Linked DNA regions of Macaca fascicularis. The protein of the gene in region 1 interacts with the protein of each later gene in a biochemical or structural test. Links are inferred from orthologs where the notes say so. Each region holds a gene or a part of one and is shown in the gene's direction. Other genes may lie near its edges.

Region 1 (5,228 bases):
TTATTATTATTATTATTATTTGAGACAATGTTTCGCTCTTGTTGCCCAGGCTGGAGTGCAGTGGTGTGATCTCGGCTCACTGCAACCTCCGCCTCCTGGGTTCAAGCAATTTTCCTGCCTCAGCCTCCCGAGTAGCTGGGATTACAGGCATGCGCCACCACGCCAGGCTAATTTTGCATTTTTAGTAGCAACGGGGTTTCTCCATGTTGGTCAGGCTGGTCTCGAATTCCCGAGGTCAGGTGATTTGCCCGCCACGGCCTCCAAAGTGCTGGGATTACAGGCGTGAACCACTTCGCCCGGTGTATTACTCTTTCTCTATTGCAATTCCCCTGTCTTGATAAATCGACTCTGTCTAAGCAGCAGGCACGGTGAACCCATTGGGCAGTTACAACAGGGTTGTAACAGGGTTGCTGCTGTAATGGCCCAGTGGGTTCACCTTGCCTGTTGCCTAGACAGAGCTGATTTATCAAGATGGAAATTGTCATAGAAAAACAGTAATTCACGCAGGGCCGCTGTGCAGGAGACTAGAGTTTTTGTTGTTGTTGTTGTTTTGAGACGGAGTCTCGCTATGTCGCCCAGGCTGGAGTGCAGTGGCACGATCTTGGCTCACTGCAAGCTCCGCCTCTCGGGTTCACCCCATTCTCCCGCTTCAACCTTCCGCGTAGCTGGGACTACAGGCGCCTGCCACCACGCCCGGCTAATTTTGTTTTTGTATTTTTAGTAGAGACGGGGTTTCACTGTATTAGCCAGGCTGGTCTCGATCTCCTGACCTGGTGATCTGCCAGCCTCGGCCTCCCACAGTGCTGGGATTACAAGCATGAGCCACTGCTCCCAGCCTAGAGTTTTATTTTTACTCAAATCAGTTTTCCAGAGCATTCAGGGATCAAAGTTTTCTTTTTTTCTTTTCTTTTCTTTCTTTTTTTTTTTTTTTGAGACAGTCTCGCTCTGTTGCCCAGGCTGGAGTGCAGTAGCGCGATCTCGGCTCACTGCAAGCTCCGCCTCCCGGGTTCACACCATTCTCCTGCCTCAGCCTCCCGAGAGTAGCTGGAACTACAGGCGCCTGCCACCACACCCGGCTAATTTTTTGTATTTTTAGTAGAGACGGGGTTTCACCTTGTTAGCCAGAATGGTCTGGATCTCCTGACCTCGTGATCCGCCCGTCTCAGCCTCCCAAAGTGTTGGGATTACAGGCGTGAGCCACCGTGCCCGGCCAGGGATCAAAGTTTTTAAGGATAATTTGGAAGGTTGGGGAAGGCCAGTGACTGAAGAGTGTTGATTGGTTGGGTGGGGGATGAAATCACAGGGAGTTGAAGCTATCCTCTTGCCCTGAGTCAGTTCCTGGGTTGCGGGGGAGGGGGCACAAGATCACATAGCCAGTTTATGCATCTGGTGGTGCCAGCTGATCCATCAAGTGTAGGGTCTGCAACATATCTTAAGCACCTATCTTAAGTGCAGTTTAGGGAGGGTCAGAATCTTGTGGCCTCCAGCTGTAATTTCTAAATTACAAAATTTCTAATCTTTGGCTGATTTGTTAGTCCTACAAAGGCAGTCCAGCCCCCAGGCAAGAAGGAAGTTTGTTTTGGAAAAAGGCTGTCATCATCTTTGTTTTAAAACTTCAAACTGTAAACTAAGTTCCTCCCAAAGGTAGTTCAGCCTATACGAGGAATGAACAAGGACAGCTTGGAGGTTAGAAACAACATGGATTTGGGTAGGTCAGATTGCTTTCAGTGTCTCAGTTACAATTTTGCAATGGTGATTTCACTGTGACAATCTTGAGGGACTTCCCACAGAACCCTCAGTTCTTGAAGCCCAAAGCCTCAGAAATGGCGAGGAAGAACGAGAGGGGTGTTAAACTCCACACGGTCTTAGCCGACCTCCGACGCTTTTCCTAGAATGTCTCATCTCTATGGTCGACGGCGTTCAGATTCCGGGGCAGACTAAGTTGTTCTTCCGGGGTGAGTGCCTCTTCCAGGGCGAGCGGTGTGGTGCACGCATTGCTGTGTTCTAACTCCCTCAGGGGCTGTGTTGTCGCACTTTCTGCTGCTATGAGCTTCCTCAAAAGTTTCCCGCCGCCTGGGCCGGCGGAGGGGCTCCTGCGGCAACAACCAGACACCGAGGCTGTGCTGAACGGGAAGGGCCTCGGCACTGGTACCCTTTACATCGCTGAGAGGTAGGGTTCCCGGTCCCCAGCGCCGGCCTCCTGCGTGCCACCCTCCTCCTTGCTGGAGCAGGCGGTGCGAAGGAGCCGGGCAAGGGGCGGCCTGGAGGGCTGCTGGGAGCGGGGGCGCGTGTCCGGGACGCCTCAGGGATACCTGTACCGGCTGGAAGGCTCGATTTTTCTAGCACTCTTCCCGAGTCTTCCATTCTCTATTTTCTCGGGCCGGAATTTCCCCTCATGGATTGTGCTTTTGTTTTTTTGTTTTGTTTTTTTAAACTCGCCTTTTACTGGAGGTCTGGCGCGTGCGTTGCCCTTAACGCACGGTCTCGTTTTAAGAGTCTGAAGTGTGCCTGTCTTTCCGGATGAACAGATGCAGGAGATGTTCCCCTCTGCAGGATACGTAGTTTCAGAGCCGAGTGTGGAGGACTTTGAAAGTTTGGTTACACAATATAGATTTTTTCTGTAGGAATAGTAAGGAGAGGAATATCCTTAACTCGACACAGACAGGGGTCATATGCAGAGGTACCAGACTCCCGTTTTGGGGTCCTGGAAGGAGTTGCCCTTTTATTTGGCCACCTGGAGCACTTTGGTATTTTCACAGTCAGATAGATCTACCTTAAATATTGTGGTTGTAGAACCGAGGTCCCTGTTTCCTTGACATTTAGTTCTCTTTATTTTGAAGCCTGTAATGACACATTTAATCTTTCCTGCCCTTCAGATATGTGTTGCTTCCCCTTTTGCTCCATCACTTGTCGACAGCCAGAGAAAATTCTCTAAGAACTCATGTGATTACTTTGGAACCACCTGTAAAATCCGGGATAATCTCCCTATGTTGCTGTCCACTGGTAACCTTAATTAGGTTTGCGAAGTCCCTTTTGCTGTGTAATATAACATATTCACACGCATGACACCAGAAACTGAAGGTCGTGGGGGCCAAAATTTTGCCTACCACAGAATCCAGAGCACAAAAACTGTAAAGAACTGTTGCTTTAAAGGGAAATTTAGACATTGAACAAGGCTTAGGCTTCAGGCCAGTCACTGAGATAGGACATATGGGTGGTAGGAAAAGCAAGATTGAGGTGAGAGGCAGATAATGAGTTTGGTCAGGACATGTGTGGAGTAGTTGTACATACGAGTGTGTGTTGGGCCGGGCGTGGTGGCTCACACCTGTAATCCCAGCACTTTGGGAAGCTGAGGCAGGCGGATCGCCCCAGAAGTTCGAGATTAGCCTGGGTAACATGGCGAAACCCAGTCTCTACAAAAAATACAAAAGTTAGCCAGGCATGGTGGCGGCCTGTAGTCCTAGCTACTCAGGAAACTGAGATGGGAGGATCACCTGAGTCCAGAAGGTCGAGGCACGGTGAGCCGTGATTGTGCCCCTGCACTCCAGCCTAAGTGACAGAGTGAGACCTTGTCTCAAAAAAAAAAAAAAAAAAAAAGAGTGTGTGTCTTGGGAAAGTGGTATTAAAGATAGATGTTTGGAAGTCGTTGAAGTATTAGTGTATACTCATGGAAATGGATTAACTATCTCAGAAGAGAAGAGGACCAAGTGTAGAACCCTAGGGACACACCTTTGTGTGGGTCATAGAAGAAGAGACTCGAGAAAGGAGGAAGGAGCAGTCAAAACAAAATATGAAGAGCGTATATTGAGTATTGACAAGGAAATCTTTGATATTTGGGGAAAGCAGTTTCTTTGAAGTGATGGAAGATGGAGCACAGATACATTCCTAGTTCCCAGGCATTCCTTTTTTATTCATGACATTTCTGTATGTTGACACTTCGTTCAATATTATAACTCCTTTTGAGGGACAGTCCTGTATTGGTTTTTGCATTTTGAAAAATTTCAAACCTACGGTCCGGTGCGGTGGCTCACGCCTGTAATTCCAGCACTTTGGGAGGCGGAGGCGGGCAGATCACCTGAGGACAGGAGTTCAAGACCAGCCTGGCCAACATGGTGAAACCTCATCTCTACTAAAATACAAAAATTAGCTGGGTGTGGTGGCAGGCATCTGTAATCTCAGCTACTTGGGAGGCTGAGACGGAAGAATTGCTTGAACCCGAGAGGCGGAGGTTGTAGTGAGCCGAGATCATGCCATTGCACTCCAGCCTGGGTGACAGAGACTGCCTCAAAAAAAAAAAAGAAAAATTTCAAACCTAAAGAAAAGTTGTAAGTGTTATTACTACCCATACACCCTTCACAAAGATTTATTAGTTAACATTTTGCCATGTTTGTCTGTTTTTCTTTTTTTTCTGAGCCATTTGAGAATTGCAGACATGTTTTCTACTTCCTGTTCAGAAGAACAGGGACATTATCTTGTATAACCACAATACAATTGTCACACCAAGGAAGTATAACTCTTTTTAAGTTCTTACCAGTTTTTTAAAAATTCTTAGCCTGGACAAGGTGGCTCACACCTGTAAATCCCTGCTCTTTGGAAGGCCAAGGTGAGCAGATCGCTTGAGCCCAGGAGTTGTTGACCAGCCTGGGCAACATGACAAAACCCTGTCTCTACAAAGAATACAAAATTGCAAAAATTAGCCGGTCATGGTTGCATGTACCTGTAGTCGCAGCTACTATGGGGGGCTGAGGTGGGAGGATTACTTAAGCCTGGGAAGTTGAGGCTACAGTGAGCTGTGATCATGCCACTACATTCCAGCCTGGGTGACACAGTGAAACCTTGTCTCTTAAAAAAATTAAAAATTATTTGTTTCAGCTTTTCACAAACAAATCTCTTATGTTTCTTCTTTAAGATTATTTTTTATTTATTTATTTATTTTTTTTGAGACAGAGCCTCGCTCTGTTGCCCAGGCTGGAGTGCAGTGGTGCGATTTTGGCTCACTGCAACCTCCACCTCCTGGGTTCAAGTGATTCTCCTGCCTCAGCCTCCCGAGTAGCTGGGATTACAGACGTGCTCCACCACGCCCAGCCAATTTTTGTATTTTTAGTAGAGACGGGGTTTCACCATGTTGGTCAAGCTGGTCTCGAACTCCTGACCTCATGATCCATCCGCCTCGGCCTCCCAAAGTGCTGGAATTACAGGCATGAGCCACTGCGGCAGGCCAAGATCAT
Region 2 (5,004 bases), on another chromosome or scaffold:
TCGAACTACTGACCTCAGGAGATGCACCTGCCTCCACCTCCCAAAGTGCTGGGATTACAGGCGTGAGCCACCGCGCCCGGTGGGTTTTCCAGCTTTCATTCTTCTGGGGCACTTGCATTGCACCCAGGGTTCCCCAGAATTTATCCTACCCCACACCCTTTTCGTATTTCCTATGGCTCTGTCCCCAACGAGCTATGGTGATCTCAGTCTCATGACCTCAGTTCTTTCTTCTGGCGACCTCCATCTCATCTGGTTCAGATCACTCTTCATCCAACTTTCTATTACACAGCGCCCCCTAGACGTTCAATTCAGCATGACTAAACCCAAACCCTGATTTCCCAAACCCTCTTCGCATTTCTCGCTCACTGCAGGGACAGAATCCTAGGCATCACCCCGACTGCTTTCTCAGGACTCCCTGCCAGTCGGTCCCTAAGTTCTGCCAGCAGCGCCTGCGTGGGGCCTCTTGTACCGTGTTCTCCTCTCCATCCTTGTTGCCGAGCTGCCTCAACACCAGTGGGCCCCCTGCCTTCAGAAGTTCCCATTTCCCTCCCCTATGTCTTTCCTTGCTTCCTTCCTTTCCATCTCTCTAGCAGCTATTGACATGGGAAAATGTAGATTCTCTCTGGCCTCCACGCCAGCCAGTTTCATGACTGCTGCCCACTGTAATTCATGAATTCCTTTTCTCTATCTTGAAGTGTGTGTGTGTGTGTGTGTGTGTGTGTGTGTGTGTGTGTTTAGGCGTTTATTCAAACCTTTTGTGTTTGAAACACAAAACACTACTTCCTAGAATCACTAGGAAGTAGCTGAGTTAGCAGTTTATTTTAATATGTAACATAATAAGGTGACAAAGCCCATTTTAATAGCACCAGCCATTAACCCAGTTTTCTCAATGTTCATATGGACGTAAATAATGACACAAGGAAAACACTTTTGAAGGTAGTTATGGGAAAAGCTGACATTAGATGGCTGCAGAACCCAACCAACTTAGGACCTGAAAATGAAAGCGTTAAGATAATAAAGAAGCTTCAAACGACGAAAGGTAAGGAAAATCAGAAAATGCTCATAAAGTAAAATTGTGAACAGCCCCACCGAGCCAGCCAGGAGTCGAACCTGGAATCTTCTGATCCGTAGTCAGACGCGTTATCCATTGCGCCACTGGCCCTGAGACGAAAGTGATTTTCTCCGTGATCCTCCTTCAAGGTTGTACTGCAGGGTTTCATGGGAGGTGTAGTCTCATAGCGGAGTTCTGCAGATACACTAAGCATTCTGGGAGATTGAAGTTCGTCTGAAACCAGACTCTGAGATTGGTGGATCTTCAGGAGCCTCGCCGTACGCCACTGCGCAGCCCGCGGATTGGCGGGAAAAGCCACTCCCCATCCCTCCCGTTCGGGAGCTGTGGCAGACGCTCTGGTTGTTAAGGCGACTCGTCCCGCCTCCTGGGTCTCTAGTTTGGCTTTGTGATTGGCTACTAGTATCAAGGAATCCCGGCATGGACAGCGCGAGGAAAAAGATGGCGGCGATGGCGGTCGGGGGTGCTGGTGGGAGCCGCGTGTCCAGCGGGAGGGACCTGAATTGCGTCCCCGAAATAGCTGACACACTAGGGGCTGTGGCCAAGCAGGGGTGAGGGCCGGACCTCCACGAGCGGAATGCGGGGTCTGAACTCGGGGACGGAGAAGGGCAGACTAGTCATCCCGGAGAAACTGGGGTGAGGGGGTCGGCTAAGATGAGAAGGGGAGAGACTATTACTCTTTGGAGGGGAGAAGCCTCGGACCCAGTAACGTGAGGAAGAGAACTTGTGGGGGGCCTGTGGTCACTGAGTCCCAAAGTTGGGAGAGTTGTTGAGTAAACTCTAAAGGGCTCTGGAGGTCGCGATTATTGTCTGGGAGTGGGAGGAGGTGTTAGGGGGCAAGGGAGAGAAGAGGCTAATCTTGACAGGGGAGGCACGGGCAGAACTGGGGCAAATCTGGATGTGATGGTCTTCGAAACATAGTGACACCTGAGGAGAAAAAAATTCTACTTGTGGATTTCCATCGTTTTCTCCTTACTCATATTTCCCATGGCTGTGTTTTGGGGAGAAACTGAGGCACAGTACAGCAGAGATATCCCCCAAGGTGGTCTGAACTCAGCAGCCTAGTAGGGTGAACTGATGGCAGCTGAAAGGGCTGTGCAAAATCAAAATAGCCTAAATCCAGTTGCTTGGCTTTCTGGCACTGCTGCTCTCTTTACATGATTCTGGGTCTGTCGCGGTTGTAGGTTTGATTTCCTCTGCATGCCTGTCTTCCATCCGCGTTTCAAGAGGGAGTTCATTCAGGAACCTGCTAAGAATCGGCCCGGCCCCCAGACACGATCAGACCTACTGCTGTCAGGAAGGGGTAGGGACCATCCCATATGCCCCTTAATTATTAGAGGCAATAACAACTTCTGCTTTATCGGGGCCCCGATTCTTCTCCTTTTCTGACTTGGATATATTTGTTAGTCCCTGGGATATAGATAACTTGTTTTCTCCTTGCTTCTCTATTCTGCATCAGGCTATCCCATGTCTATGTAGAAAAAACCTTTGTCTCTCATTTCTACTCTTGATTCCCAAAACTAAAAATTGAACAAGTAAAGTGCTGAACCTTATTCAGTATTTGTCTCTCTTGGGTGGGGGAGTGCAGACTGGAATACGCTAATTGTGGGAAAGCTTTCTCCATGGATTCGTCCAGACTCAAAAGTGGAGAAGATTCGCAGGAACTCCGAGGCGGTAAGACTCTTTGACTTCTATGCTGGATCTTTCTAACCAAGCTGGGTAGGGAGAGTGGTCCCCTCCCACCCCCAATAACTTGGTAAATCAACTGATACAATGAAATTAAAGCTATTAGGCTGGACCCCATGGTGCACACCTATGATCCTATCACTTTGGGAGGCTGAGGTTGTAGGATCACTGGAGCTCAGGAGTTTGAGACCAGCCTGGGCAGCATAGTGAAACCCCATCTCTATAAAATATACAAAAATTAGCCAGGCATGGTGGCACATTCCTGTGGTCCCAGCTACTCAGGAGGCTGAGGTGGGAGGATCAGTTGAGCTTGGGAAGGTTGAGGCTGCAGATGAGTGGAGATTGTGCCACTGTACTCCAGCCTGGGTGACAGAGTGAGACTTTGTCTCAAAAAAAAAAAAAAAAAAGAAAAGAAAAGAAAAGAAAGCTATTTGCTTGTTAGCTCAACCTTTTCCTCTTCATCTCCATTCCAGGCCATGTTACAGGAGCTGAATTTTGGTGCATATTTGGGTCTTCCAGCTTTCCTGCTGCCCCTTAATCAGGAAGATAACACCAACCTGGCCAGAGTTTTGACCAACCACATCCACACTGGCCATCACTCTTCTATGGTATAGCTGAGGGGCTCCTTTCCTGCTGCATATCATAGTAGTCAGATTGTGCTAAGTACCTTCTTGTGCCTAGCCATTCAGTGAAGGGTGTGTTTGGCAGAATTGAAGTATCAGTATTGCCGGGCACAGTGGCTCATGCCTGTAATCCCAGCACTTTGGGAGGCTGAGGTGGGCAGATCGCTGAGCTCAGAAGTTCGAGACCAGCTTGGGAAGCCTGGTGAAACCCTGTCTCTACAAAAACCAAAACCAAAACAAAAAAACACAGATTAGCTAGGTGTGGTGTCACACGCCTGTAGTCCCAGCTACTTGGGAAGCTGAGGTGGGAGAATGACTTGAACCTGTGAGACGGAGGTTGCAGTTAGCTGAGATTGCACCACTGCACTCCAGCCTGGGTGACAGAGCCAGACCTTGTCTCAAAAAAAAGGTCAATATTGCGCACCTCTCCATCTAAAAGTGGTATGAAGAGAGTTTCAAAACATGCAAATGTAATTATTTCGGAAACTTACGTAAGATAAGGCAGATATTTACATAAGGATCTATACATAAGGTACATGTTCACTTACAAAATCACAAATTGGGAAAAGCATATAAAGGGATTAGCGAGGTCTGAATGAAGTTTTTGATTGAGGGAAACTTTCTGGACCGAGTGAGTTCAAAAGGGTGTTCTAAAAGGGTGACTGTTCATGTGCAGTTCTGGATGCGGGTACCCTTGGTGGCACCAGAGGACCTGAGAGATGATATAATTGAGAATGCACCAACTACACACACAGAGGAGTACAGTGGGGAGGAGAAAACATGGATGTGGTATGTCTCCCTTTGCTGCTGTGATAGGGTGAGGGGAAGTACAGGGTGAAACCTATAGGGAGGTCTCCTTGAGCTATGGTGATTGGTCGGCCGTATCTAGTTGACTGTACTTTTCTGTATTTGACTCTGAACAGGTGGCACAACTTCCGGACTTTGTGTGACTATAGTAAGAGGATTGCAGTGGGTGAGTCCATGAGAATCCTGGGTTGGGTGTTGCTTCTCTGACCTCCTGTGAATAAGATTCAGGAATTTTGTATATAGTATACAATTTTACTACTTACCCTCTGTCTCAGACTGCCTTTCTCTTAAAGAGGTAAACAGATTTTTCACAAAGGAGCAAGGAAGGGTTTCTTGCCTGGCAGTGGTTGACAGTTTTTCTTTGTCTCATGTAGCTCTTGAAATTGGGGCTGACCTCCCATCTAATCATGTCATTGATCGCTGGCTTGGGGAGCCCATCAAAGCAGCCATTCTCCCCACTAGCATCTTCCTGACCAATAAGAAGGGATTTCCTGTTCTTTCTAAGATGCACCAGAGGCTCATCTTCCGGCTCCTCAAGGTGAGTGGTAGGAGGGTTCTAAAGGTGGTCCAGCTATACATCTTGCCTTATTTACCTGTGTATGATCGTTTTTTCCTGTGAGGCTGACTCTTTTTCTTTGGTTTCTGGGGAGCAATTTCAGTGAAGTTGGGAGTCTTGAGAACAAAAAGATAAATGCCAGTAATAGCCCTAGAAACCTTTCAAAACAAACCAAACCTCATGAGAACTTTGCAGAAGGTTTCATTTAGGAAGTTACAGCAAGGATCCATGAGGCTCTTTGGGTGTTGATGATACTTTTATGG
Region 3 (5,226 bases), on another chromosome or scaffold:
ATGTAAATCCCCCCCCACTCCACACAGCAAACACAAAAGAGAACACTCCCTGGGAGTGACACCTGAAGGTCAGGGTCCCACATGTTGTTGACCTCTCCCACAGTTGGCACTTCACTTGAGAGTTTACTAGCTAGCACTCCGTTCCTCACCAACCCTGCGCCTTCAGCAGGACAGGAATCACGTCTTCCCCCTCCCCTACCTCTTGGGCAAGCAAACTAACTGCCAAGACACTGAAAACCAGTCCGAGTCTCCGCCCCAAAGGGGCTCAGGCTACCGCGTGGCAGAGGGAACCAGAGGGGGAAGAACAGGAGCAAGACAAAACGCCGACTCTGGGAGGCCAGAGCACCGGCCCTTTCATTACTCGGTGCTCTCGGCCAGTTTCCTGCCCTTCCCAGCCTCAGTCCTCCACGGTTCCCCAAGGCACGAGAGCTCCCAAGGCGGCTCCAGTAGGACTTTTCGCTTCTGGGGAAGGTGGCGCCCCTTCTACCCGGACCCTCCCACCATGCGGACAAGGGTCGCAATCCTGCCAGTGTCAGGAAACCCCCACTGACTGGAGCGAGGCGGGTGTGGGGGTGAGGCGGGAGTCGGCCCAAGGTCGCGCGGCTGGACCCTGCCCCGCGCTAGGGCGGGGTCCCCTTCGTTCCTAGGGTGAAGACTGGGCCCACAGAGAGGCACTGACCGGGCTCGAGCGGCGGCCCCGCTGCCTCCGCCTCCGTCCTCATGACCCGGGCGGCGCGGGGCGCCCATGGCCCCGGCCCAGAGCGGGCTACAGCTTCCGCTTCGGCTGGGGCGGTAGGGCGGTCGGTGCGTGTCGAGTTCCTTCTCCGCCACCGCCGCCGCTGCGGAGGGGAGAACCGGAGGCGGTGGCTGGGCCGCCCCAAGCCCCGCCCCAGCCCTTCCAGGTCTCGAATCTGGAGGCCCCGCCCTTTCTCTAAGCCCCGCCCCAAACTTTGATCCTAGAGGCCCCCAGCCTCCCGATTTAAATCTGCCCCGGCCATTCACCGCCTCAGCGTCGAGTGACCCAGCCCTCTCGTCCAATCCTCGCGCAGCCGCGAAGCCCAACAAGACGCGGACCCGGAAGCTCCGCCCCTTTCCTTGAGCCCCGCCCCAAAGCCCGTGCATTTCGTGAACAGAGGCTCCTCCCTTCAGCAAGCCCCGCCTCTGCCGGGGCCCGCTCCTTTGCCAGTCTTAGCTGTAAACCCTGGTCCGGCCCAGTGTATTCCGGAGGCTCCAAACAACTCTCCTTAAACTGCCTTTAGGGATGACCCTGAGCCGGCCTCCTCTCTACTCTATACCTAACTTTATCCGTACGAGATACGTAGCCTCACTCAGGGCGCCCCTTACCTGGCGGTGCTGGGATCAAAAAATTAAATTGTGAGGGGAAGTCCTGGCCCTTGGCCCAACCTCCTGCTGCCCCCGGTCTGAGGGCCCAGGCCCCGAGTCTCCGCCTTGCCGTCCAGCCTGTCCTTGGTGTGGGGCGCTTGGAAGTGCAAGCACCCTCTCTGGCTCTTTGCCGGCCCCAAGGGTCGTTGTTTGCGGCGGTCCCCGGGCCCAGTCTTCGGCCCTCTTTTCCGGTGCCGGAACTATCGTACTGGTGCCTTAGTTTCCCAGCCGGCACGCGGGGTGAGGAGGAAGCGGAGGCGACACCGCTCTCACCACTGGGGAAAGGAAGGAGGCGGGCCCTGCGCGCAGCATTTTGGGAACGAGTGGAATTCTGGGAGCTGGGCCCGCCATTCTCTTGATTCACGCCTTCGCCGTAGCGGCTTTCGCCGTGCACCGAAGAGAAGGAAAAGTAGGCCAGAACCGGTGAGGCTGGGGACGGGCGAGGGGAGGTCGAGGTGCCTGTGAGGGGCCGGGGGCTGGAGAAAGACTCAATGCATGAACTCTGCGGGATTCGGGGAGGGAAGAAAGCGGGAAGTTTGGACCACCCAAACATCAGCGTCGCCTCACTAGCGCCTGGAAGTAAGTTCATTAGCTGCTCCCTCAATGTGCATGCTTCTTACATTCTGTATCTCTCCAGGTGAGTGTTTTTCAAAGTTTCCAGGCAGTAATCTTGAAGTTATTTCCTATGAGTTTTTTGAATCTTGAAGTCAAATCCTATGAGGGTTTTTTTTTTTTTTTTTTTTAAAGTAGAGACGGTTTCACCATGTTACCCTGGCTGGTCTCGAACTCCTGGGCTCAAGGGATCCACCGGCTTCGTCCTTCAAAAGTGTTGGGACTACGGGCGTGAGCCATCGCGCCCAGCCGGTCATTTTTTAAAAAGTTCTTTGCATGTCTGCCCCCAGCTCCCTTTCAGGCAGTGGTCCCGTCATGCTTTCCACACTGTTGCAGCAGTTTTAACTGTTGCAGAAATTTTAACAAGTTTCTCTGCTTCTAAACCTTACGTTAGATCCATTTTGTAAATAAATGCTGCTACCTTTTCATTGTGTCATTCTTTACCTATAATTTTGCAGTGGTTCCCCACTATCTTCAGCATAAAATCTAGGCTCCTAAGGCTGAAAGCCAGGGATCCTCACCAAAGGAGCCTGTCTTTTCAACCTCATGTTCTCCTGTCTTAGGTGCACTTAGGTTCCAACTTTGAGTCGTCGCTCATGTCAATAAAAAGTTCACTACTTGATGCTTTTAATTAGGTCAAGTCAGGTGCTTTCCCTTATTTTCCTCCATGACGGGCATTTCCTGCATATAGCACGTTGTCACTTCGATATTTTCTCAATATCCTTGATGGTAAAGTAAGGGAAGGGTTAAAGAGCTGCATTAAAAGTACAGTCTCCTCTCCTAGATATGCATGGTCCTTAGGTCTGTATCTGCTCCTTCCGTAGGGTAGCCACCAGCTACATGTAGCTGTTGAGCACTTGGAATATGGCCACTGGGATTGAGGGACTGGGTTTTTTATTTTAATTCTATTGTGTTTTAGTTAAGTTTAATTTAAATAGCTACATGTGGACATGAGCTACTGTATTGGACAGCTCAGGCCTGTGTTATGATTCTCAAAATATAATAATCTACAATTAAGGGTTGACAAATAACAGTGCAACAGATTAACATTCCAATCCCCCTCCCCTACACACACAGTATTCGCTAATGGTCCTTTAGCTGAAGATTAAGGGACATAGGGTAGCAGGGACACATGGTCGATGGGAGATGCTCTCTTTTCATTCCTATTTTTACTTCTGTCCACCCCACCATTCCTCCTCACCCGACATCTTGCACATATTTGCCAGATAGTTTCCTCCAAGCCAGGAGCTGAGCTTTCTTTTTTCTTTTTCTTTGATAGAAAATGCAGCTTTGGCGTTTTTGCTAAGTTTTATGGAGTGCCAGGCCTTGAAGGAGGCATGACGTGTGCCGCATGCCTTCTCAGACTCTGAAAGATGAACTGACTGTTGTCTCTTTCACTGTAGAGCTCTCTTCCTGCCAAGATGTCTATTGGTGTGCCAATTAAAGTGCTGCACGAGGCCGAGGGCCACATTGTGACATGTGAGACGAACACCGGTGAGGTATATCGGGGGAAGCTCATTGAAGCAGAGGACAACATGAACTGCCAGGTATTCTGCTTTGCATGTGAGGCTGTGTGGGAGGAATGGCCCTGTGTCTTGAAGGACAGAAAGGTGTGGGTTGGGGGTCTTCTGTAAATTGTTCTCATTCAGCAATGATTTCCTGAGTGCCTAACACATACCAGTCAGGTGCTGTTATAGGCTCTGGGGATGTGGGCATGAACAAAACACATAGTCTTGAGGCAGAAAAGCCATTTGGAGATTTGGAATATTTTACTTCGCCTTTTTTGTTTTTTCCATCCCCAAATTTGGGGACCTGTTTGGGAGAAGTTCCTTCAGTAGAATCCTTCAGGTTCAGAGCCATTATCCATTTGCCTCCACTTGCTTTGCAGTTAGGAGAATCTTCTCACATACTGTGTTTGTTTCCCTTTTCTCTTGGAGGAGGAGTCTCATTTGATTATTGCAACTACCTTGTGAGGTAAGCAGGTTTGGTGGTAGTCTTGTCATCCATAAAATAGGGAGAATGAGATTAAAGGACTCATCACTCTGATAGTAAATAATGGAGTAGTTTCTTGATACGGTGTCCTTCTCATGGCGCAGCTTTGCCTTTTGCATAGTCATCTGAATTTTTATAGCATTGTTTTTCAGTTGTATCTTCACACTTTCTTTGTTCTTTAAACCATTGGTTAAGAACTTGGACTTGGGAGTCAGAGAGAGATGTGGGTTTGATTCCTAATTATATGACCTTAGATGTATTAATCACTCAGTTTTCTCATCTGTAAAACGGGAGTGTTATTATTTTGGGTTCTTTGATGTAGATGCCAAGACAGAATTATGCAAGGTATTTATTGGGGGAAATGACAATAAAGGATAAAGGAACAAGGAAACAGTAGTAGGCAGGGAAATTTTCAGTCCGTGATGCTGGTCTGACTGGTGAAACGAGAGGGGAAAGAAGGAGGATTGAGCAGGAAGAACCTTAGACTACAGTGTAGTTTTGAGGAAGTCTCAGCAAGGCAGTGATTGCTCATTAGAAGAGTCTAACATGGGGCAGAAATGGGCAGACTGGCACCCCTGGTGTGTTCATTCCATTGGCTGGCAGCCTGGGGAGACAGCCTCTCTCCCCAAGTTGAATGCCATGGTGGACTGCAAAGATGGAGATTGTCGGCTGCCTTCACTCCTCATAGCCTGTTTTCTTTTGGAGGGAGATCTGAGCAGCACACCCTTAAGACTGCCACAGGGATAATATCCACACCCCCAGGACTTTTACAAAGATCAGATGAGCTATATGTGTGCAATAGCTGCTCGGTGCCTCACATACTGTAAGTGTTCAACGTATGGTGTTTACTGCTTTTTTCCAGATGAGAAGGTCAGAGAGGTAAAGCGTCTTACACCACGGTCAGGTATCCTGACCATCTATTGGTTTGCGCCATTCATTTATTTGTGATTTTTCTGTAGCTTTGAGCGTCTATCATCTTCCTGCGAGGTTGACAAGCTTGGTCAGTTCCCTGGATGCAGAGAAGTAGACCTCTGGTGACTCAGGTTTATTGCATCATTGTCAATAGATCAGTTTATCTATTGACAGTAGATAGGTTTATCATCTCTCTTTCATATATCCAGACCTCTGGCTTAAGGCATGCTCATCCACTTTAAGGTACTTTAATTTGGTAAGGAGAATGCAGGACTTGGGTTAGTGAATCTTAATGGGTTTGTCATCTAGCTATATGTATTTGGACAA

What was found.
Region 2: the proteins of CLNS1A (region 1) and PRMT5 form a complex in vitro, tested with the Homo sapiens proteins (5 studies listed by BioGRID and IntAct, with this or other methods). The link is inferred for Macaca fascicularis from reciprocal best matches to the Homo sapiens genes CLNS1A and PRMT5.
Region 3: the proteins of CLNS1A (region 1) and SNRPD3 form a complex in vitro, tested with the Homo sapiens proteins (2 studies listed by BioGRID). The link is inferred for Macaca fascicularis from reciprocal best matches to the Homo sapiens genes CLNS1A and SNRPD3.

What each region holds. Positions count from the first base shown.
Region 1 is NC_088388.1:76,532,860-76,538,087, reverse strand, and holds the start of CLNS1A (methylosome subunit pICln), read left to right. Parts: upstream 1-1,952; 5' UTR 1,953-2,045; coding exon 2,046-2,170; intron 2,171-5,228. UniProt on the Homo sapiens protein: Involved in both the assembly of spliceosomal snRNPs and the methylation of Sm proteins.
Region 2 is NC_088381.1:90,673,166-90,678,169, reverse strand, and holds the start of PRMT5 (protein arginine N-methyltransferase 5), read left to right. Parts: upstream 1-1,495; 5' UTR 1,496-1,510; coding exon 1,511-1,620; exon of another isoform or gene 1,621-1,646; coding exon of another isoform or gene 1,647-1,705; intron 1,706-2,253; coding exon 2,254-2,372; intron 2,373-2,657; coding exon 2,658-2,743; intron 2,744-3,228; coding exon 3,229-3,363; intron 3,364-4,054; coding exon 4,055-4,167; intron 4,168-4,301; coding exon 4,302-4,351; intron 4,352-4,559; coding exon 4,560-4,723; intron 4,724-5,004. UniProt on the Homo sapiens protein: Arginine methyltransferase that can both catalyze the formation of omega-N monomethylarginine (MMA) and symmetrical dimethylarginine (sDMA), with a preference for the formation of MMA.
Region 3 is NC_088384.1:28,879,020-28,884,245, reverse strand, and holds the start of SNRPD3 (small nuclear ribonucleoprotein Sm D3), read left to right. Parts: upstream 1-1,717; 5' UTR 1,718-1,806; intron 1,807-3,398; 5' UTR 3,399-3,416; coding exon 3,417-3,542; intron 3,543-5,226. Other genes in the region: protein GUCD1, read right to left, coding at 680-722. UniProt on the Homo sapiens protein: Plays a role in pre-mRNA splicing as a core component of the spliceosomal U1, U2, U4 and U5 small nuclear ribonucleoproteins (snRNPs), the building blocks of the spliceosome.